Arabidopsis thaliana: one gene and its partners. The protein of the gene in region 3 purifies or fractionates together with the protein of the main gene of each other region. This does not show direct contact. Each region holds a gene or a part of one and is shown on either strand. Other genes may lie near its edges.

Region 1 (6,410 bases), on a different chromosome or scaffold from region 3:
AAAAATGCATAATGTGACGCGTCAGCTCTCGTGACATAAATCGGACTACGTGGATATCTTTGATTGGATGTTATGCCTTTTCTTTGCCAGCCAAATGTCCACGTCACGGAGCGGTGAAAGAATGTTAAGTTTAAGCAAATTTTTACTTTTACAGGGTTTTTTTTTTTGGGTTCACTTTTGCAGTGTTATTGTGTAACTTGCGTTCGGTGATAAAGTTTATAAATTTCTGGAAAAGAAATTCCACATAAAATGAAATACCGCACTTTTGGTACTTTGAAAAGAAATGCTTACACCATGCAAAAGAAATGGTTAACAAGACATGAAAATATAGTACTACTTTTGGTTCTCTGGTATACCACGTCAAGTGATCTTTACATGCACGAATCGAGCATTCCAAAGGTTCGAAACTGTGTCCTTTTTCATGGTATCAAATCAAATCTTTTTGTAGTATGGTGGATGATCTTATAACAATAATGGATTATTTTCAGCAAATTCTTTAGTTCTACAACACTAGTAGTGATTTTAAGATTTCACATTTTGGGGGCTTGTATAACAAATTAATTCGTATCCACACTTTCAAGAGATCAAAGAAGCATATATTTCATTAGAGAAAACAAAGATACATATAACATTGCAACAAGAGAAACATATAGTATAAAGCCGTAAACTCTCTTCAACGAAAGCGAGAGAGTGTGACTCCATTCCCTCAAAACCTAACTTTGGCTAAAATATTTTTCTTGGAAGAAAAGTTATTGAAACTGAACAAACACAAACCACGTAGAAAAATCCCGGAATATAGAAATAATATCTTCAAGCTCTTCACTTGGCACTACCGAGCTGGGAGCGGATAAGCTTAGCCGCGTCAACCATGGCTTTAAGTGCTGGTTTAACCTCAGTGTACTTCCTTGTCTTCAGACCACAGTCAGGGTTAACCCACAAGATGTTCTGCTCAAGAACCGCAAGCATCTTGTTGATCCTGTCTGCAATTTCATCTGTGGATGGTATTCTCGGAGAGTGAATGTCGTAAACACCAGGACCGATTCCTGCACCGTACTTCACTCCTTCACGGAACACTGAGAGAAGCTTCTCGTCTGAACGAGAGTTCTCAATGGTGATGACATCAGCGTCCATGTCAATGATTGAGTGGATGATGTCGTTGAAGTTTGAGTAACACATGTGAGTGTGAATCTAGAAGATAAAATAAAGAAGTTAGTTGCAGAAACATTCATCACTATTTGAGATTTTAAGTGTACAGTGTTGTTACCTGAGTGCTGTCTTGGACGCCACAGTTGGTGATTCTGAAAGAGTGAACAGCCCAGTCCAAGTAGAAAGAGTGTTCGGCTTTCCTAAGAGGCAATCCTTCTCTAAGTGCGGCTTCATCGATCTGAATGACTCCAATACCGCCTTTCTCGAGGTCTTCCACTTCATCTTTGATGGCCAAAGCGATCTGGTAACAGGTTTCGTGCCTGGGCTGGTCGTTTCTGACAAAAGACCAGTTGAGAATTGTGACTGGACCTGTAAGCATACCCTTCATTGGACGTTTGGTCATGCTCTGAGCTGTTGAGGACCAGAAGACTGTCATTGGCTTGGGGCGGCTCACGTCACCATAGATAACTGGTGGCTTCACACAGCGAGATCCATAGGATTGCACCCATCCGTTTGCTGTGAATGCGAAACCTGACAATTGCTCTCCAAAGTACTCAACCATGTCGTTTCTCTATAATATTGTCAAAGCATGGCTGAGTCAGAAACAGGACGTTGTAATTAGTTTTAGGGTCTAGTAAGAGACAAAGACTGACCTCAGGCTCTCCGTGAACAAGAACATCAATGTCAAGGTCCTCTTGGATGTCAACAACTTTCTTGATCTCTTCCTTGATGGCCTTGACGTAATCCTCTTCAGAGATTCTAGTAGAAGAAAGAGTTCCAGTTAGCATCACAATCAACTTACTAAACATGCTTAAATGATCAATGCAAAAAAATTATGATTAAGAGACTAACTTCTTGGCCTTGTATTCACGGCGAACTCTCCTGAGTTCCACGGTCTGTGGGAAGGATCCAATGGTTGTGGTTGGGAGGATTGGAAGGTTAAGCTTCTTCTGCTGAGCATCTAGCCTTGCGCTAACTTCAGTTGTACGGCGGTGGTCAGATCCCTTCAAAGCAGCAGCCTGAGATTGCAGGAATTACAAATCATTAGGATCAATAGAAACATATATCATACAGAGAAAACCATCATAATAGTAAAGAAAGCTTGAGTATGAAAGCAAGAACTTACAGCCTTCTGGACAGACTCATTGGTGACTCTTGGGGAAGACCTCCTCGAAGACAATGCGTCAGCGTTGGCAGTGAAGAAACTCTGAAAGAGAGAAATATTAGAGACTTGAAGTCTTTTTCAAACAAAGGGTTCACTTGGGAAACATGTTTGTAGGATTTTTACAATACCTCATTTGTCTGACCGGCCAAAGCCTTGGCCAATGCGTCAACTTCAACAACCTTCTGGGCAGCAAAAGCTAGCCACGACTTGATTTCAGCATCAAGCTTAGTCTCGTTAATAAGGTCAACGGCAGTGTGGAGAAGAGAGCAAGAGGTTGAGACCACAAGCTTGTCTGCACCAATTCACAAATAACAAAACCAACGAGTTAGAGAAAGATAACAAATTAAACACTTCTAATTGAGTAATCCACATAAGAGATTCTGGAAGAATATAATACCTTTACCAACAACACCCTCAAGTGACTGCAAGGTGATGAGAGAGGCAGCGAGGTCATTGGCCCAGATGTTCCTTCCGTCAACAACACCAGCAAAGAGGTACTTGCCCTGTGGGAAACCTGACTTGATCAAGTCAATGGTCTTGGTGCCACGAACCAAATCAAATCCGAAGGCAGTCACACCCTTCAAGGAAGTAAGGGTCTTGTATGCTTCAGCAGGGATATCAGCGAAGTAGGTCTCCACAAGAACATTCAGACCAGAGAGAGTTGATTCAAGCTCAGCATAGGCACCGCTAAAAGCCTGGAGTTTGTGACCCTCGAGATCCATGACAAAGAGAGGCTCATCAAGCTGAATCCAGGAGGCACCAGCTGCCTTAAGCTCTGCAATGACTTCCCTGAGAAAAGATTCACCATTCCAATAGTATGTCAGAAACAAATTTCCTAGCGTCAAAGAGAATAATTGAGTACTAGAGCAAAAGTAATCTCTTACTTGTAAACTGGGAGGATTTTGGGGAGAAGGGAGAGAAGATCAAATGACTTGTCAACACCCTTAGCAAGCTTGGAAAGAAGCAAGTAAGAGACAGGGCCAACAAGTACAGGGACGGTCTCAACACCAAGCTGCATTAACAACACCACATTACTATATTAGAACATTCAATACCAGACCAAAAGAAGCCTATATATGTTCAAATAGGAAAATTAGTTGAGTACGTACAGCCTTGGCCTCCTTGTACTCATTGACAGCCTTGTGAGATGCGTAAGAAAATTTCACTTCAGGGCCCAACTCTGGGACGATGTAATGGCTGCATCAAACAGAAACATTAAAAAAATACGTTAATAACACAACTCACAAATCCAATAACAATGTCAACACACAAGTTAAAGAGTAGAGAAGAAACTCACTAGTTGGTGTCAAACCACTTGGTCATCTCCATAGCTGGAACAGAGGCATTTCCTCTAGCCATGGAGAAGTAAACATCGAGACCGATCTCACCACTGGTAAATCCATATCTAGATGGAACAGCACCAAGCATGGCGGTGGTGTCAAGCACCTGGTCATAATGAGAAAAGGTGTTGCTTGGGATATACTTAATCCCAGCAGCAGACATCTGTTTCCAGATATCAGACCTGAGATCAGCAGACACCTTCTGCAAATCATCGGCACTGCTCTTGCCATCCCAGAAAGACTCCAATGCAAACTTGAGCTCTCTCTTAGGTCCCATACGTGGATATCCAACAATGTGGGAAGCCATTTTTGTTTGTTTTTTGTTTTTTTACTACATTTGAACCACAAACAAAACCAAAATCAGTCAGTAAACCAAACACAATCCTAAAATGTACTTCTTGTCATATGGTAAAAGCCACCAATCGTTAAAAAAGTAAAAAACTTTTGCAGTTTTTTTTGTCGTATTTATTGAAAACAGAGTATGAGAGAGTTTAAAGATCAAAACGAATCACAACTAGGGAAAACAGAGATCTAACGCAGAGAAAGATCGCAAAACAGAGATTTTACGAATCTGATCGTATAAAAAATCCAGATCTGTGTTTCATAGAATTTCACTCACCGGATTAAGATCTAAGTATTAACGAACGAAGAAGAAACGGAATCAAACGAAAATTGAATTGAGAAGAAAACGAAGAGACGGAAGGTAAATAAGAGAGTGGGAAGGGAGAGAGCAAGAATAGTCATGCGGAAGCCATGGAAACTCGGAAGCGTACCTTACGGAATGAGAAGAGTGGAGATGAGAGATGGGCAAAGAGAGCGACGATGGAGAGTGTTCTGTGTTAAGCTTATTTATAGCAAATCAATTACACATCGTTCCTTGGTTTCTCTCACTCACTCGTGGTGGCTGATTATTTTTCTATTTAAATTAATAATACGTACATGTACATCAAAATACGTATATTTAGGTTTTTACCCTCTCTACAACATTATACTATATGATAAATAAAAATACGTGTAATCCATGTATCCAGAATGATACTAATTTTTATCTTTCAAATTTAAGGGCACGGTCAATTATATACAACTTTCGAGAATTATACGTATAACGACGGTTTACATAATAAAAAAATGTATTTGATCATGGCATGACATTACAATTATATAAGCTGGTAGAACTTAATTCCGTTGAATTAGTACTAGTTTACTGGTAATTTTAGTTGACTTTTGTCAAGTCCTCACTGGCTAGTTAAAGCTTAAAACAATTGTTTAAGGGTTAATTAAGGGGTTAGTGTATGTTGTATTGTAAAGCGTAGTATTAATTAAGATATAAGAGCTTAAGAGGGGATTAATTATGGAATTGAAAATGTGAAGGTGGGGAGGAGAGTTGGTGTGTGTTGTTTGTGAAGAGTATACATGAGGAGAAGGAGGTAGCGGGATTGGTGGGTGGAGCCCATTAGGGAGTTGGTGAGATATTCACTTTTAATTTCATTTTTGGGAGTCAGTACCAACAATTCTTGCCACACAAATTTGGAGATTTGTTTGGTAAACAAAGTTGGTGAATGATTATGAGATCCTCCACGTCCCTCTTATGGTTTGATCTTCACATAATTTTTTTTATTCAACAATGACGTTTGAAACCTATTAACCATAAGTTGTCATAATATTCACCTTAATGAGGAATATACGTCTATAATGTATGTAAAGAAGTCTAGTATGAAATGGTAAACTAGTTCAGTAAAGAATATTCAATGCTCTGTTTGGACGACTAATACGAAAATTCTATGTTTCGAATAAAGAAGTGTATTTCTACCATCTCTTGTAACTTGTTTTGTAGCAAGAACTCTTTTTTTTAATGCTTTCACATGAGAAAGTCCGTTCTTTTGTTTTTCGACTCAAAAAACTTTAATCCATCAAGACGCTTAACAAGTAACTTCAAATTTCAAAACAAAACACAGAAATATTTGTATCCGGTAAATTTTATATTTCCTCACAATATCCAACATCGGTCTATTCCGAAGCATTAGTAGATCAGTAGATGCCTTGCTATGGTTTTGTCGGCTGTCGGTGGGATATAGATATAAAAACGCACGACCATTTAATGAGACATTTTTTTTTTCTTATTTCTCGCTAATGCCTAATGTATCATGCGTATTCGGTATTCCCAAAGTAAAAGAATTTGACAAAATGTTCCGACTAATATATACTTGTGCGTCTTGAAATATCGCATTACACATTACATACCTAATTTACTTTCAATTTTTTTTGTAAGAAAGTTAAATGAATAAACACGTTTACATATCATCAATCCTACAGAATATACTATAAGTTTTAACGGCGAGATCACATGCAAGAGACGATAAAGTTTCCATACTTTGAAAAGAGAATATGATATTCAATATATAAGGAAACTAAAAGAATTCATATATCCATAGATTGATATCTCTTATCATAAGGAAAATAAAAAATTCATAGACGATATACTGATATCCATAGATCGAAATTTTTTACTAATTAAGGAAAATAAAAAATTCATAGATTGATATCTCTTATCATCATATATCCATATTTCCAAAATATAATAAAAGAAGAAACTTTTCTTCACCACCCAAAACCTCCCAAATTTTTTGTTTTCCTAAGGTTTCTCAAGAGCAGGAACAAATAACAAAACATATCTAATCTAGATCGATGGAATCATCTTCCAATCACATGGTATGCGTAAACGCATAATAGATTGTAAGATTTGTGTATATATTTTATGT
Region 2 (4,472 bases), on a different chromosome or scaffold from region 3:
TCTCAAGCAGCAAAGCTAGGTGCACAAGGTGTGCCCTCATTCCGGTCATTTTCTTTTGAAGAGTTAAAGGAAGCCACAGACGATTTCGATTCATCACGTTTCTTAGCTTTGGAATTATGCAGGAAAATGGCTAAAACAGAGGGCGATGTGTACAACTTTGGATTCATACTTCTGGAATCTCTGATAGGACCAGTACCTACTACAAAAAGGAGAGGCCTATCTTCTCAACGAAATGGTATCATATAGGGTAAAGAAAAGAAGCAAATCTTCATCATTGTTAATAGCTGTTGCTGCAATGTTGTATTTGCAGACGTCATTTGGGAGCCAAGACTGTCGACAGAAAATAGGAAGTCCAACGGTCCTAACAACAAGCTCGCAGGAGTCTTTACCCAATTGCCATCTCAATCGCCAATAAATGTGTTTTGCTTGAACCTTCTGCAAGACTTCCTTTAAAGATGTTCTCTGGAACTTACCATATGCAGCTCAAATGCAGTCTGCCGCAGACGCTGAACGCAAATCTGATAAGTCGTCGTGAATCCAAAGGCTAACCTGATGATTGATAGTTGTTTTCGGATTTATAAATGTTATGTTTTATAAGTTTGGTTTTTCAGTAGAAAAATGTAATACTCTAGCGGCTAAAAAACATAGTTTCTTGTCTCTCTTGAAACTTTATTCGTTTAACAAATATTGATTGAAGAAGATGTTGAGTTTTGTAGTTGGCGAGAACTTCTCAATCTTCAAGAACAAGGTACTGAGGCAGGAGACTTGTCAAATGTTCTTGGAGAATTTTGTCTTTGAATTGCAGAATCGATCCCAAATATTTTATTATTATAAAAGCTACAAGAATACAGTTTCTAATACATGTATTAGCAAAAAAGTAACAGTAAAACCAAGGGCTACACACTTTTCTTAAACAGGAACTTTGGAGTCCACTGATTTGAGAACCTCCTCACCCATTTCCTTGCATCCCACCAGTTTCTGCATTTTCAAAACACAAAAAGACTTCTTTAAGTATATTGTCATTAACTTATACAAAACAAAAGACAGAAATCATCATACACATACATTTCCGGGGGAGTAGATGTCTCCGGTTCTGAAACCTTTGTTCAGAGCATCCACGACCGCGTCTTCAATCATCTTTGCAGCCTTTTCTTCTCCAAGTCCATACTTGAGAAGCATCGCCGCACTGAGAATGGTGGCCAATGGGTTTGCCTTGTCTTGTCCAGCTATATCTGGTGCTGAACCATGTATAGGTTCAAAGAGTCCAGGTCCCTAGTTTTCATCACAAGTTTAACAATCAATATATGATAATAATAAACAGAGGAACCTTGAAATATTAGATTTAGTCTTACTTACCGATTCACCAAGACTTGCAGATGGAAGCATCCCAATGCTACCAGTGATCATTGAAGCTTCATCAGACAATATATCACCAAAAATGTTATTGGTGACGATTGTGTCAAACTGCAATAATGTTTTTAAAAATGCCGTGAGTACTACAAGTTCCACTTCTGTGTTAGCTTAATCAACGGCTAAGCTTTATATATGCGCGAAGATCACCTGTTTCGGGTCACGGACAAGCTGCATCGCAGCATTATCGACATACATATGTGATAGTTCAACATCTGGATATTCAGAGGCTAAAGCTGTTACTCTTTTCCTCCACAATATTGATGCCTATACGAAACAAAACAAAAAAATAATTGTATAACGAAAAACACACAAGAGTGGAGTGGAAAAACAATTCAAAACATACATCCAAGACATTGGCTTTGTCAACAGAACACAGCTTGCCACGCCTTTTCCTAGCAGTCTCGAATGCAACACGAGCAATTCTGTCAATCTGAAGAAGATAAAGCAATGCATTAATACACATACATTGTCACAGAGCAGCAGATTGTGAAGAGTAAGTAGTACCTCGTGAGCAGCGTAGATCTCTGTATTAAAACCGACTTCTTCGCCATTTTCGTTGATCGTAATGCCTCTTGGCTCTCCAAAGTAAATACCTCCAGTGAGCTCCCTTACAATCATCATATCAACACCTTGTGCTACTTCTTTCTTCAGTGTGGAAGCATCAACTAGCTGAACAAGCAAAAACAGAAAAATTTGAGTATATTTACAACTAGAAAGCAAAGTGATAAGCAAATCAATACCTGTGGTAAAACTGTAGCAGGTCTCAAATTAGCAAAGACATTGAGATCTCTTCGAATGTTAAGCAGACCCATCTCAGGTCTCAGATGTTTCTCATTCTTGTCCCATTTGTACCTGAACAAAAAATCATCATAAAGAGAATAAATTTGCTGAAGAAACAACACACACACGCATTACACATACCCTCCGATAGCTCCAAGAAGAATGGCATCAGACTGTTTAGCAGCAGTGGAAGTTTCCTCCGGCAATGGAACTCCGACCAAATCCAAAGCTGCTCCGCCGAAAGGCATCTCCTGGAAATCAAACTCTAGTCCTTGGAGAAATCCAGCTTTCTGAAGCACATTCTTAGCAACAGATATAACTTCTGGACCGATACCATCGCCGGGAAGCAGAGTGATGTTATACCGTTTTTTCACCGGTGAAGCGGCGGCGCACCTAATTCGATACGGCGCACGAAACTTATGATCGGTGAGAGAACTGTATCTTCCCGGTATGATCTCCAGACGGATGTTAGTTTGCAAAAACGCCGCCATCTTTTTTTCGAGTTTAGGGCACCACCATCGGCAAAAACTAACCATTTGAGTATACTACAGAGACCGGTTATCTCTGGTTATTTGTTAACCTGATTTTGGTTCAATGTTCTCATTAATTTCAATTTTAAGTTCTATCAGCTTTTTGGACTCTCTCATGTCCACCATCCGTTCACTTGGCCGCGTTCATATAAACCAAAAACCGAACAACAACAAAAATTCGAAAATTCTCCGGCGACACCAACAATGGGAAGGTCTCTAATATTCTCTGGAAACATGTCATTGAGAATCTCTCACTTACCCAGATCATCTCTTCCGCTGCAAAACCCAATTTCAGGCCGGACAGTGAACAGAACTTTCCGATATCGGTGTACGAGGATTTTGTCTAATAGCTTCAAGTCCACAACGAGACTTCAAACCAAAGCTGTTCTGTCTGAGGTTTCTGATCAGACGCGATATCCCAGAATCGGCGCTAAAACCACCGGAACTATATCTCCGGCACACCTCCTTGAAGTCGTTGAACTCGCCGCTAAAACCGGCGCTGAGGTTCGAAATTTCATGTCTGTAGAATACAATATCTGAATTTATGTTTATTGGAAACAAAAACTCTTGATGAGACTTGAAATTGTGTTCAATGGTACTAGAATCAAGTTCTTGGGTTCGTAGGGCACAACTGCACAAGGAGAATAATAACAAAACTAACTTGAATTGAATCATCTGGTTTGTTAGGTGGTTATGGAAGCTGTAAATAAGCCAAGGAATATTACTTATAAAGGTCTCAGTGACTTAGTAACTGAGTAAGGACTTCTTCACCTTTTAAAATTGTTAGCTTGAGGTTTTAACTATGTTCATGTTGACTTGATTGGTTGAAGCTATTAAAGTTTTAGTACTTTTGATGAATTTGCAGTACTGATAAAGCAAGCGAGGCTGCTATTTTGGAAGTAGTGAAGAAGAATTTTAGTGATCATCTTATTCTTGGTGAAGAAGGAGGTATCATCGGCGATTCGTCTTCTGATTACCTCTGGTGCATTGATCCTCTAGGTTTAGCTCTCTTTACAAATCTCATTGCTTTCTTTTCATGTGTTTGTGTGGAATCTCTGAGATTTTTAGTATTAGTCTCTTAATTCCTTTATGCATAGATGGAACTACAAATTTTGCTCATGGATATCCCAGTTTTGCTGTTTCCGTCGGTGTTCTGTATCGTGGAAATCCCGCCGCTGCTTCTGTGGTAAATCCAATATATACTTGCACAAACCAGCTAATGCTTGTTAGTTCCTATTTGCTGATTCTTTGGTCAGTAGGATTAACAACAAAATCTCATCATGCAGGTAGAGTTTGTCGGTGGTCCGATGTGCTGGAACACTCGAACCTTTTCTGCAACTGCAGGTACTATGTGACAAGCTTATGTTTGGCTATATATCTAAATTTTGTCTAACTAGTTCACTTCTTAGGTGGTGGAGCATTGTGTAACGGGCAAAAAATTCATGTCAGTAAGACCGATGCTGTAAGTAACTTATCAAGAATCCAATTTTAAGTTTCGACATGGTGTGTTCAATGGTTTTGGTTTATTAGATATTTATTCGGGTTTGAATGAAGGTGGAGAGAGCACTTCTTATCACAGGGTTTGGTTATGAACATGATGATGCATGGAGCACTAACATGGAACTGTTCAAAGAGTTTACTGATGTGAGTCGGGGAGTGCGAAGACTCGGTGCTGCTGCAGTTGACATGTGTCATGTTGCACTTGGGATTGCGGAATCATATTGGGAGTACCGTTTAAAGCCATGGGAC
Region 3 (7,734 bases):
CTGTTGGACCCATTGGTATAAACAAACTTTTGAAACAAGATCTAGAAGAAGCTCGTGACAAGACTAGTTCACTTAGAAGACAAGAAGGTTTGGCTTACCAAAGCTCTTATTTATAGCAAAGTAAACGAGATGGATCAGAAAGAAAGAAAGGAAATCTATTAAAAAAGTGGGTTATTGGGGTTAGCTTTGAATTGTGATTTGTCTCTTAAGTCTAAATTCGATAGGAAGCAGTATTTTTATCCAGATCTTCTTCAAGGTTATCAGATTTGGATATTCCTCTTGAGTTTGGTGGTGGACATAGGAGATTTTGGTATTACTAGGGTTCATATGGAAGAAGATGCTGGCAAGTTACTTCATTCAGACACAGGAGATTACTCTCAGGTTCATATGGAATTTATGACAAGTTTCAGTTTGGTTTTATCAGATTCTTGTATTGGTTTTAGGCTTCAGCTGCAAGATGTTTGTGTTTCTTATGTATTAGTTGGTTACTCTAATGGTGCAAGTAGATTTGAATAGAGCAGGTGTTCTTGAACATGATCTGAGAATTGGTATAGATGCTGCTGAATACGCTTGTGAAATGCAACAGATTGCGAGGTCTTTGGGAGTCAGTAATGGGAATATGCAAGAAGGCTCTCTTATTCCTTTTCAAAAACAATAATATTCAACTCTTGCAAGTTGCGAAACATGGGAGCCTAAGCGTGTAAGAATAACCCACTGAAACTCATATATTGCATGAGATCACTCACCTTTTAACCTAATCCTAGACAGACTTATCTGCCTTTTAAAAAAGACATTTTAAAACAGAAACAAACACTCTTTTATTTTGCTCCATAACTTGTGTATTGCTTCCTTCACTATTGCTTGCTCAAGTTTCTGATAACATATGGAAGTATGCCTCCATGGTTAAAGTATGCCAATTCCACCTGCACATTTATTTTACCATTATTAGTTCCTTCACATTGAAAAGCTTTTTTTCACTAAAGATTGGAGTATTTAGTTACCTCTGTGTCGAAGCGGACTGTGCAAGTGAAAGATTTTCCGTTGTCGGTAGTGACGGTAACATCTTGGCCAGGTCTTATCTCTGAGATATCGGTTGGGAGATGGATCGTGTAGCGTTCGTGACCAGTCAATCCAAGAGTATCTGCGTCTTCACCGGACTTAAAGCACAATGGGATGATTCCCATTCCCACCAAGTTGCTTCGGTGAATCCTCTCAAAACTCTTTGCAATCACCGCTTTAACACCCTGACAATCCCAAACTTGTTGTTTCAGAATAAAACAGTAAGATTGGTTTATGCGGAAAGAAACTAGAGAAGCGGTTCTAAACCTGTAGCATGGGTCCCTTGGCAGCCCAATCACGTGAGCTACCACTTCCATACTCAGCTCCAGCCAGAATAATTGTGTCTTCACCAGATGACTTGTACCTCTGATACATTTGACATTATGATAAGGAGACATTCGACATGATCAACATACAGTCAGTAATACAAATTTTAATTAGATAAATACAAACCATGGCAGCGTCAAAGACTGAGAGCTTCTCTCCAGATGGAATGTGAACAGTCTTAGGGCCAACTTCACCATTCATGAGCTTGTTAACGATACGGATATTAGCAAAAGTACCTCTGGCCATTATTTCATCATTCCCACGGCGACTTCCATATGAGTTGAAGTCCTTACGGTCAACGCCACGCTCCATGAGAAACTTTGCAGCAGGACTGTCCTTTTGGATGTTTCCAGCTGGTGAGATGTGATCAGTGGTGATACTGTCCCCAAAATTGAGTAAACAGTAAGCATCCTTCACATTGTGTGGACCAGGAGGATCCATGGTCATGTCCTTGAAGTATGGAGGCTCGTGAATGTAAGTTGAGTTGGGATCCCATGAGTAGAGGGTATTCTCAGGAACAGACAGCTTATTCCACATGGGGTTACCCTTGGTGATTGACTCGTACGTTGCTCGGAACATGTCAGGCAAAACACTGGATTGAACAACCTGATCCATATGTCAAAAGATTAGTTTAATATTTGTGTATAAAAAAGATGTTATTGTTCTCTGGTTAAGTCGTATATACCTCAGCAATTTCTTCCGTGGTTGGCCAGATATCTCTTAAGAAGACGTCCTTGCCATTCTTTCCTTTGCCAATAGGCTCCGTTTCAAAGTCAATGTTAACCTGGAAAATAAGAAAGAAGAACGCCAAAATTACCAATGTGATAATCAGTCATGTGTCATTATCTCATACAAAATGTAAGTTGAACTTTGACAAGTTCTCAAGATTTATTACCGTGCCAGCAAGAGCATAGGCAACCACCAACGGAGGAGATGCAAGGTAATTGGCTCTTGTTAGTGGATGAACACGCCCCTCAAAGTTCCTGTTACCGGATAGCACAGCAGCCGCCACAATGTCTAAAACCAAGCAACACAAATATTGAAAACAAATCAGCTACTTACTTATATATAATAGTAATATAAAGGATGGAAAGTCCAAAGTAAGTTTAGTTGGGAATCTCAATAATACCATTTTCGGTAATAGCAGCTCCCACTGATTCATTAATTTCCCCAGAATTCCCGATGCATGTAGTGCACCCGTAGCCGACAATATTGAAACCCTGTTCATTCAGATATTCTTGCAATCCACTGCATGGAGTAAGATGTTACACTTAAATTTACCATCACATAAGAAAGAATTAGCCTTTAACAACGAAGAACTAGATAAAAATACGACATACCTCTTTAATAAGTATTTTGTAACAACTCCTGAGCCTGGAGCAAGACTTGTCTTTATCCAAGGCTTAACCTACAGAGGCAAGTTTTTGAAAAAGGGATCAGAAAATGTCGAGGCATCAGATAGATTTCTAGTTTGCTCTCGTGAAACCAACCTGTAGCCCAAGGTCACAAGCCTTCTTTGCAACAAGACCAGCACCAAGCATGACGCTGGGATTTGATGTATTAGTACAGCTTGTGATTGCAGCAATCACCACACTTCCATGTTTAAGCTCTGCTGGTTGTCCATCGAACGAAAAATTTACCACTTTTTCTTGTGCCTCTTTAGGTATAGCAAAACCCTGCGGAGAATGAATAGCAATATTCAGAAATAAACATTGATTTCCAAAATGTGCACCAACAACCCAGTCTATAGAACGAGTAAATGGTTAAGAGATTAGACATCCACAAAGTGAAACATCCAGTTACATACCTTGAACCCAACTTTACTGTCAAGACATGAATGCCAGTCAGCTTTCATTTCCTTCAAAGTAACACGATCATGTGGCCTGCAAAGAAGATATCAATAATATGGTCATGACCAATTATTCAGACAATAAACTTCGCGATTACAAAAACCAACAGAACCCATACCGCTTTGGTCCAGAAATGCAAGGTTCAACATCATCCAGATTCAGTTCTAGATATGACGAGTAAACCCGGTCTTGCTGAGGCTGAAATTTATTCACAAGCAAAGTCAAATAAAAACCTGAAAGGAGATTAAGAAACAAAAAAAGAAAGAAAGTATAAGGCTAATTTACCTCATTGTAGTCAACAAACATATTGTTAGCCCGAAGATATGCTTCAATCATAGCCACCTGCCATGAAAGTATTGTATCAGACCAGATATCTGAATATATATAGAAGGAAGATTAAAGTCAAACACTCACTGTCTCATCGCTTCTTCCAGTCAATTTGAGATATTGTAGAGTAACATGATCCACAGGGAAGAAGCCCATGGTTGCACCATACTCGGGAGACATATTGGCAATTGTCGCCCTGTCAGCTAGGGACAGCCCACTCATGCCATTACCTAAGAAGAAAAAAGTAGACTTATAATGCTCCAACAAACACATGTCTATTATAAAAGAGCAAAACACTTAAGAGCTCACAAGGATATAATTACCATAAAACTCAACAAACTTTCCAACAACGCCATGCTTCCTCAGCATTTGAGTCACTGTTAGAACCAAATCAGTAGCTGTTACACCATTACGCATTTTTCCGGCAAGTTTGAATCCAACAACACCAGGCAATACCATACTCATGGGCTGTCAAACCAAAAAAGCGTTATCAGTATAAGAAAAATTCACAAACCTCACTGTATTGGAGCAGAAGAGTCATAAAATATAGTGATCTAATCTAAAATTCAGTAAAGTTGACTCCAGATTAACCAACATCTGATGTGCGTCATGTAAATAATCAAAATAATTTACCTGGCCAAGCATTGTTGCCTCAGCTTCAATACCCCCAACACCCCATCCAGCAACTCCCAAACCATCAATCATAGTTGTATGTGAATCAGTTCCAACCACGCTGTCTGGGTAGAGAAGGCCTTTGGTATTGAACACAACTCTTCCAAGATATTCCAAATTGACCTGAATTTTCAAGATGAGGTTAGTTTGAGACAAACTTCAAGACAGATAAAAGAAGATAATAAATGAAAAGAAACATTTCAATACACTGGAAACATGAGGTTGAAAAGGATATATATCAATGTCAGAACAAGTTTAGAAACAACTTATGGACTCGCACACTTTAAAAAAGAGAATTACCTGATGCACAATACCAGAGCCAGGAGGCACAACAAGCATGTTCTGGAACGCAGTAGAACCCCATTTAAGGAAAGCAAACCTCTCCTTGTTCCTCTGGAACTCAAGCTCCATGTTTGCTTGCACTGCATTCTCTGATCGAGCTACATCTACTTGAACCGAGTGATCAATCACAAGATCCACCGGAACCTGAGAGACACAGTATAACATAAGAAATCTAAAAGAACCCTAACCTAAACAAAAAGCATCAATCTGTGGCAAACAAAAACATACCAAGGGATTGATTTTGTTGGAATCACTTCCCAGCTTATTCATCGCATCACGCATACAAGCAAGGTCAACAACAGCTGGGACTCCCGTAAAGTCCTGAAGAAGAACACGAGCTGGTTTAAAAGGAATCTCTACTTGTTTAGGAGATGTCTTTTCCCAGTCAATAATCTTCTCAACATCTTCCTTAGTAACTTGAAAGTTATCACAATTACGAATCGCAGATTCAAGCAGAATCCTAATAGAGTAAGGAAGTTTATCTGCAAATACAACACTCCTCTTCAGATTCTCAGGTCCTTCATAAACTCATTCAAAGAGAGATTCAAAAAATCCATACCAACTCGTGGATCGTTAAGAGCAGGTAAGCTATAGAACTTTCCGAATTCACCACCACCAGGCTTAGGAAGTGTAGTGAAGATCCCTTTAAACGGATGCTCTGACGCTGAAACAATCATAATCACAAAACAGTTACTACTAATCAACAGAGATCGGAATAAAAAACTCAAGCTAGATCAATCAGATCGAGATATTTTACCCATGGAAGAGAAGGTTCTCTGGAGACGATCTAAGACTGGAGAAACAGCTCTGATCTGAGAGGTGAAGCGAAACGGAGATGGTTTCGAGTGAAAGGAATGGCTCCAGCGACGGAAAGCAGGGGAAATGGTACCAAAAGATCTACGAGCGAGAAGAGACGACGGAGAAGTAGATGAAACGGAGGGAGATAAAACCGATCGGAAAGAGAAAAGAGAAGAAGAGCGAGAAGAAGCAGCTCGGATGATGGAGGAAGAAGCGGAAGATGAAGCGGTTAAATACATGATGATGAAATCACGCTTCCAGATGCAGATTCAGATACTGACAGAGAAGATGAAGAAGATAAGGTTATTGATTGATCAATTGGGATCGATCATGGAGGATTTTGAATCTGACGTCGGAGTGATGAATGATTGAAGAAGCGAGAGAGAGAGAGAGGCGTGTGGAGACGAAACGAAAATGCCTAGGGCTGCGTGCCAATAAGTCAATCTTCCCTCTCTCGCAAGGGAATATTTTTTTTTGTTTACGGTATTTTTTGGATTTTAATCTACGCAGCCCCTCTCCTCCACATAATTTCTATTTAGCCCCTATTATTAAAATAATATATATTTTTATTTATTTTAATTTAAATAATTACTTAAAAATCAAATAAATCTCATAACATTTTTACCTGTTTGAAAAAGACAACGTAATATATAGTTTCTTAATATATAATCATATATATATGAAAATTGGTCAACACTCTCCATATGAATGACACACCATCACACAAAAGCATCACACAAAAGTTTGACATATATCATTCTATATTTTTAAATTTAAAAAATAATAAAATTAAAGGTAATATTAGTAGATAACCAAATAAAACATACAAATTAAGAAACTAGCAGAGATAAAGTTTTTTGTTACAAAATAACCATGGACCCACGTTGTCGGAAGAAAGGAAATAATAAAGCTATCCTTTATTTGTTGTAAGATGAAAAGTAAACGAAACACATCCGTGTAATTTTTCAAAATATCATGTAACATTAAAATTTCACATGTTATATTTAGTTTAAAAACATGCTATTTCATAATACGTTATGAATTTTTTTTTTTAAAACATTATTATGAAATTCTTTTACATGAACAGAATCTTAAAACAAAAATTATATGTGATTTTAATAAAAACCATGTATTACTAAAAAATAAGAATATTTTTAAAGAAATCACGTGTGATCTCAATAAAAAACGTGTATTACTACAAAATATCATGATAAAAAGATATATTAAACTGAATACAATGTTTTTTCCAAAAAATAGCATGTGCTTTTTATAAATACTATGTAATAAGAGAAAATAACAAGTGTTCTCCAACATGTTTCCGACAAGATACTGTGACTCAAGGTTAGTTTGTACATTCTTTTCAAATCTATAGTCATTTATTATAAATACTCTAAAATTAAATGTATGATTAATCCTATTCTTAATTGATTCAAAATAAAATAAAAAAAAATTATGTTAATAAATTAAGCACTACTTTCATTATACTCTTTATTTTATTAAATTTTTATTATCAATAATCACTACTAGATAATGACTTTTTTTTGTGTTGTAGTTGTTTGCTACCAAACCTCTTATTAGTTTAGTATATATTATTCTCATGAACATATTTTCGTCATTAGTTTTCTAACGTTGTCCTTCGCGATTCATCATTAGTTAGACCGATACAGATTTCTTATGTTAATCTTATTTAGAGATCTAAAATCTACATATACATTTTTCAGCTACTTTAACAAATAAATCTTGTACTTGAACTTATTTACAATGTCATGCTATTGACATTAATTATTAATAAATGAAATATTTAATTAAAGATGTAAATCAAAATTAGTTTGGTAAAAATTGCTAAAACACTGGACACATCTTTACTAATATTACGGCAATGATCATTTAGAAATCTAATCATATATATGAAAGTTGGCCAACTCTTTCCATATGAATGACACATCATCACACAAAAAAATGACATGTGTCATTCTATATTTTTTAAATTAAAATATTAATCATATTAAATAAGCAAATTAAATGTATCATCAATCCTACTCTTAATTGATTTTTTCAAGATAAAAATAAAATAAAAAATTATGTTAATAAATTAAGCACTACTTTTATTATACTCTTTTTATTTTACTAATTTTTTTGTGTTGTACTTGTTCGTTACCTAACCTCTTATTAGTTTAGTAATTTTATTTTGAGTCTTTGATAACATTGACACTCAAGTTTTTTCAAATAATAAACCTTTAAAACGTTAGACTTACCAAATAATTTAATACACGATCATTTCTCTTATATTGATATATGCAATGAGAGAAGATCTAAAAGTATTGACTTAAATACTGCTTTAATTTATGCTTTTTTTTTT

The links. Proteins that work in one complex are often made in the same cells at the same time.
Region 1: the proteins of ACO3 (region 3) and MS2 fractionate together in Arabidopsis thaliana (co-fractionation; one large-scale study listed by BioGRID). This does not show direct contact.
Region 2: the proteins of ACO3 (region 3) and IMD3 fractionate together in Arabidopsis thaliana (co-fractionation; one large-scale study listed by BioGRID). This does not show direct contact.

The regions. Positions count from the first base shown.
Region 1 is NC_003074.8:955,150-961,559, reverse strand, and holds MS2 (methionine synthase 2), read right to left. Parts: upstream 4,699-6,410; 5' UTR 4,425-4,698; exon of another isoform or gene 4,271-4,424; intron 3,983-4,270; 5' UTR 3,959-3,982; coding exon 3,609-3,958; intron 3,509-3,608; coding exon 3,421-3,508; intron 3,324-3,420; coding exon 3,196-3,323; intron 3,101-3,195; coding exon 2,709-3,100; intron 2,604-2,708; coding exon 2,440-2,603; intron 2,354-2,439; coding exon 2,273-2,353; intron 2,166-2,272; coding exon 1,999-2,165; intron 1,906-1,998; coding exon 1,800-1,905; intron 1,718-1,799; coding exon 1,265-1,717; intron 1,189-1,264; coding exon 820-1,188; 3' UTR 528-819; downstream 1-527. Other genes in the region: AT3G03776 (hydroxyproline-rich glycoprotein family protein), read left to right, coding at 6,337-6,360. UniProt on the Arabidopsis thaliana protein: Catalyzes the transfer of a methyl group from 5-methyltetrahydrofolate to homocysteine resulting in methionine formation.
Region 2 is NC_003070.9:11,141,934-11,146,405, forward strand, and holds IMD3 (isopropylmalate dehydrogenase 3), read right to left. Parts: upstream 2,785-4,472; 5' UTR 2,730-2,784; coding exon 2,335-2,729; intron 2,266-2,334; coding exon 2,154-2,265; intron 2,083-2,153; coding exon 1,918-2,082; intron 1,844-1,917; coding exon 1,757-1,843; intron 1,678-1,756; coding exon 1,561-1,677; intron 1,465-1,560; coding exon 1,357-1,464; intron 1,273-1,356; coding exon 1,066-1,272; intron 979-1,065; coding exon 910-978; 3' UTR 528-909; downstream 1-527. Other genes in the region: IMPL1 (myo-inositol monophosphatase like 1), read left to right, coding at 2,928-3,227, 3,411-3,478, 3,589-3,722, 3,821-3,909, 4,010-4,067, 4,133-4,185, 4,278-4,472.
Region 3 is NC_003071.7:2,139,471-2,147,204, reverse strand, and holds ACO3 (aconitase 3), read right to left. Parts: upstream 5,877-7,734; 5' UTR 5,615-5,876; coding exon 5,335-5,614; intron 5,242-5,334; coding exon 5,137-5,241; intron 5,060-5,136; coding exon 4,806-5,059; intron 4,722-4,805; coding exon 4,536-4,721; intron 4,359-4,535; coding exon 4,197-4,358; intron 4,032-4,196; coding exon 3,887-4,031; intron 3,794-3,886; coding exon 3,651-3,793; intron 3,579-3,650; coding exon 3,522-3,578; intron 3,435-3,521; coding exon 3,355-3,434; intron 3,270-3,354; coding exon 3,194-3,269; intron 3,063-3,193; coding exon 2,877-3,062; intron 2,795-2,876; coding exon 2,727-2,794; intron 2,635-2,726; coding exon 2,516-2,634; intron 2,404-2,515; coding exon 2,282-2,403; intron 2,171-2,281; coding exon 2,072-2,170; intron 1,993-2,071; coding exon 1,513-1,992; intron 1,426-1,512; coding exon 1,327-1,425; intron 1,245-1,326; coding exon 1,002-1,244; intron 924-1,001; coding exon 855-923; 3' UTR 527-854; and 1 more. Other genes in the region: AT2G05720 (Transducin/WD40 repeat-like superfamily protein), read right to left, coding at 1-13. UniProt on the Arabidopsis thaliana protein: Catalyzes the isomerization of citrate to isocitrate via cis-aconitate. Contributes to oxidative stress tolerance. Modulates cytosolic citrate metabolism during lipid mobilization. Required during seedling growth.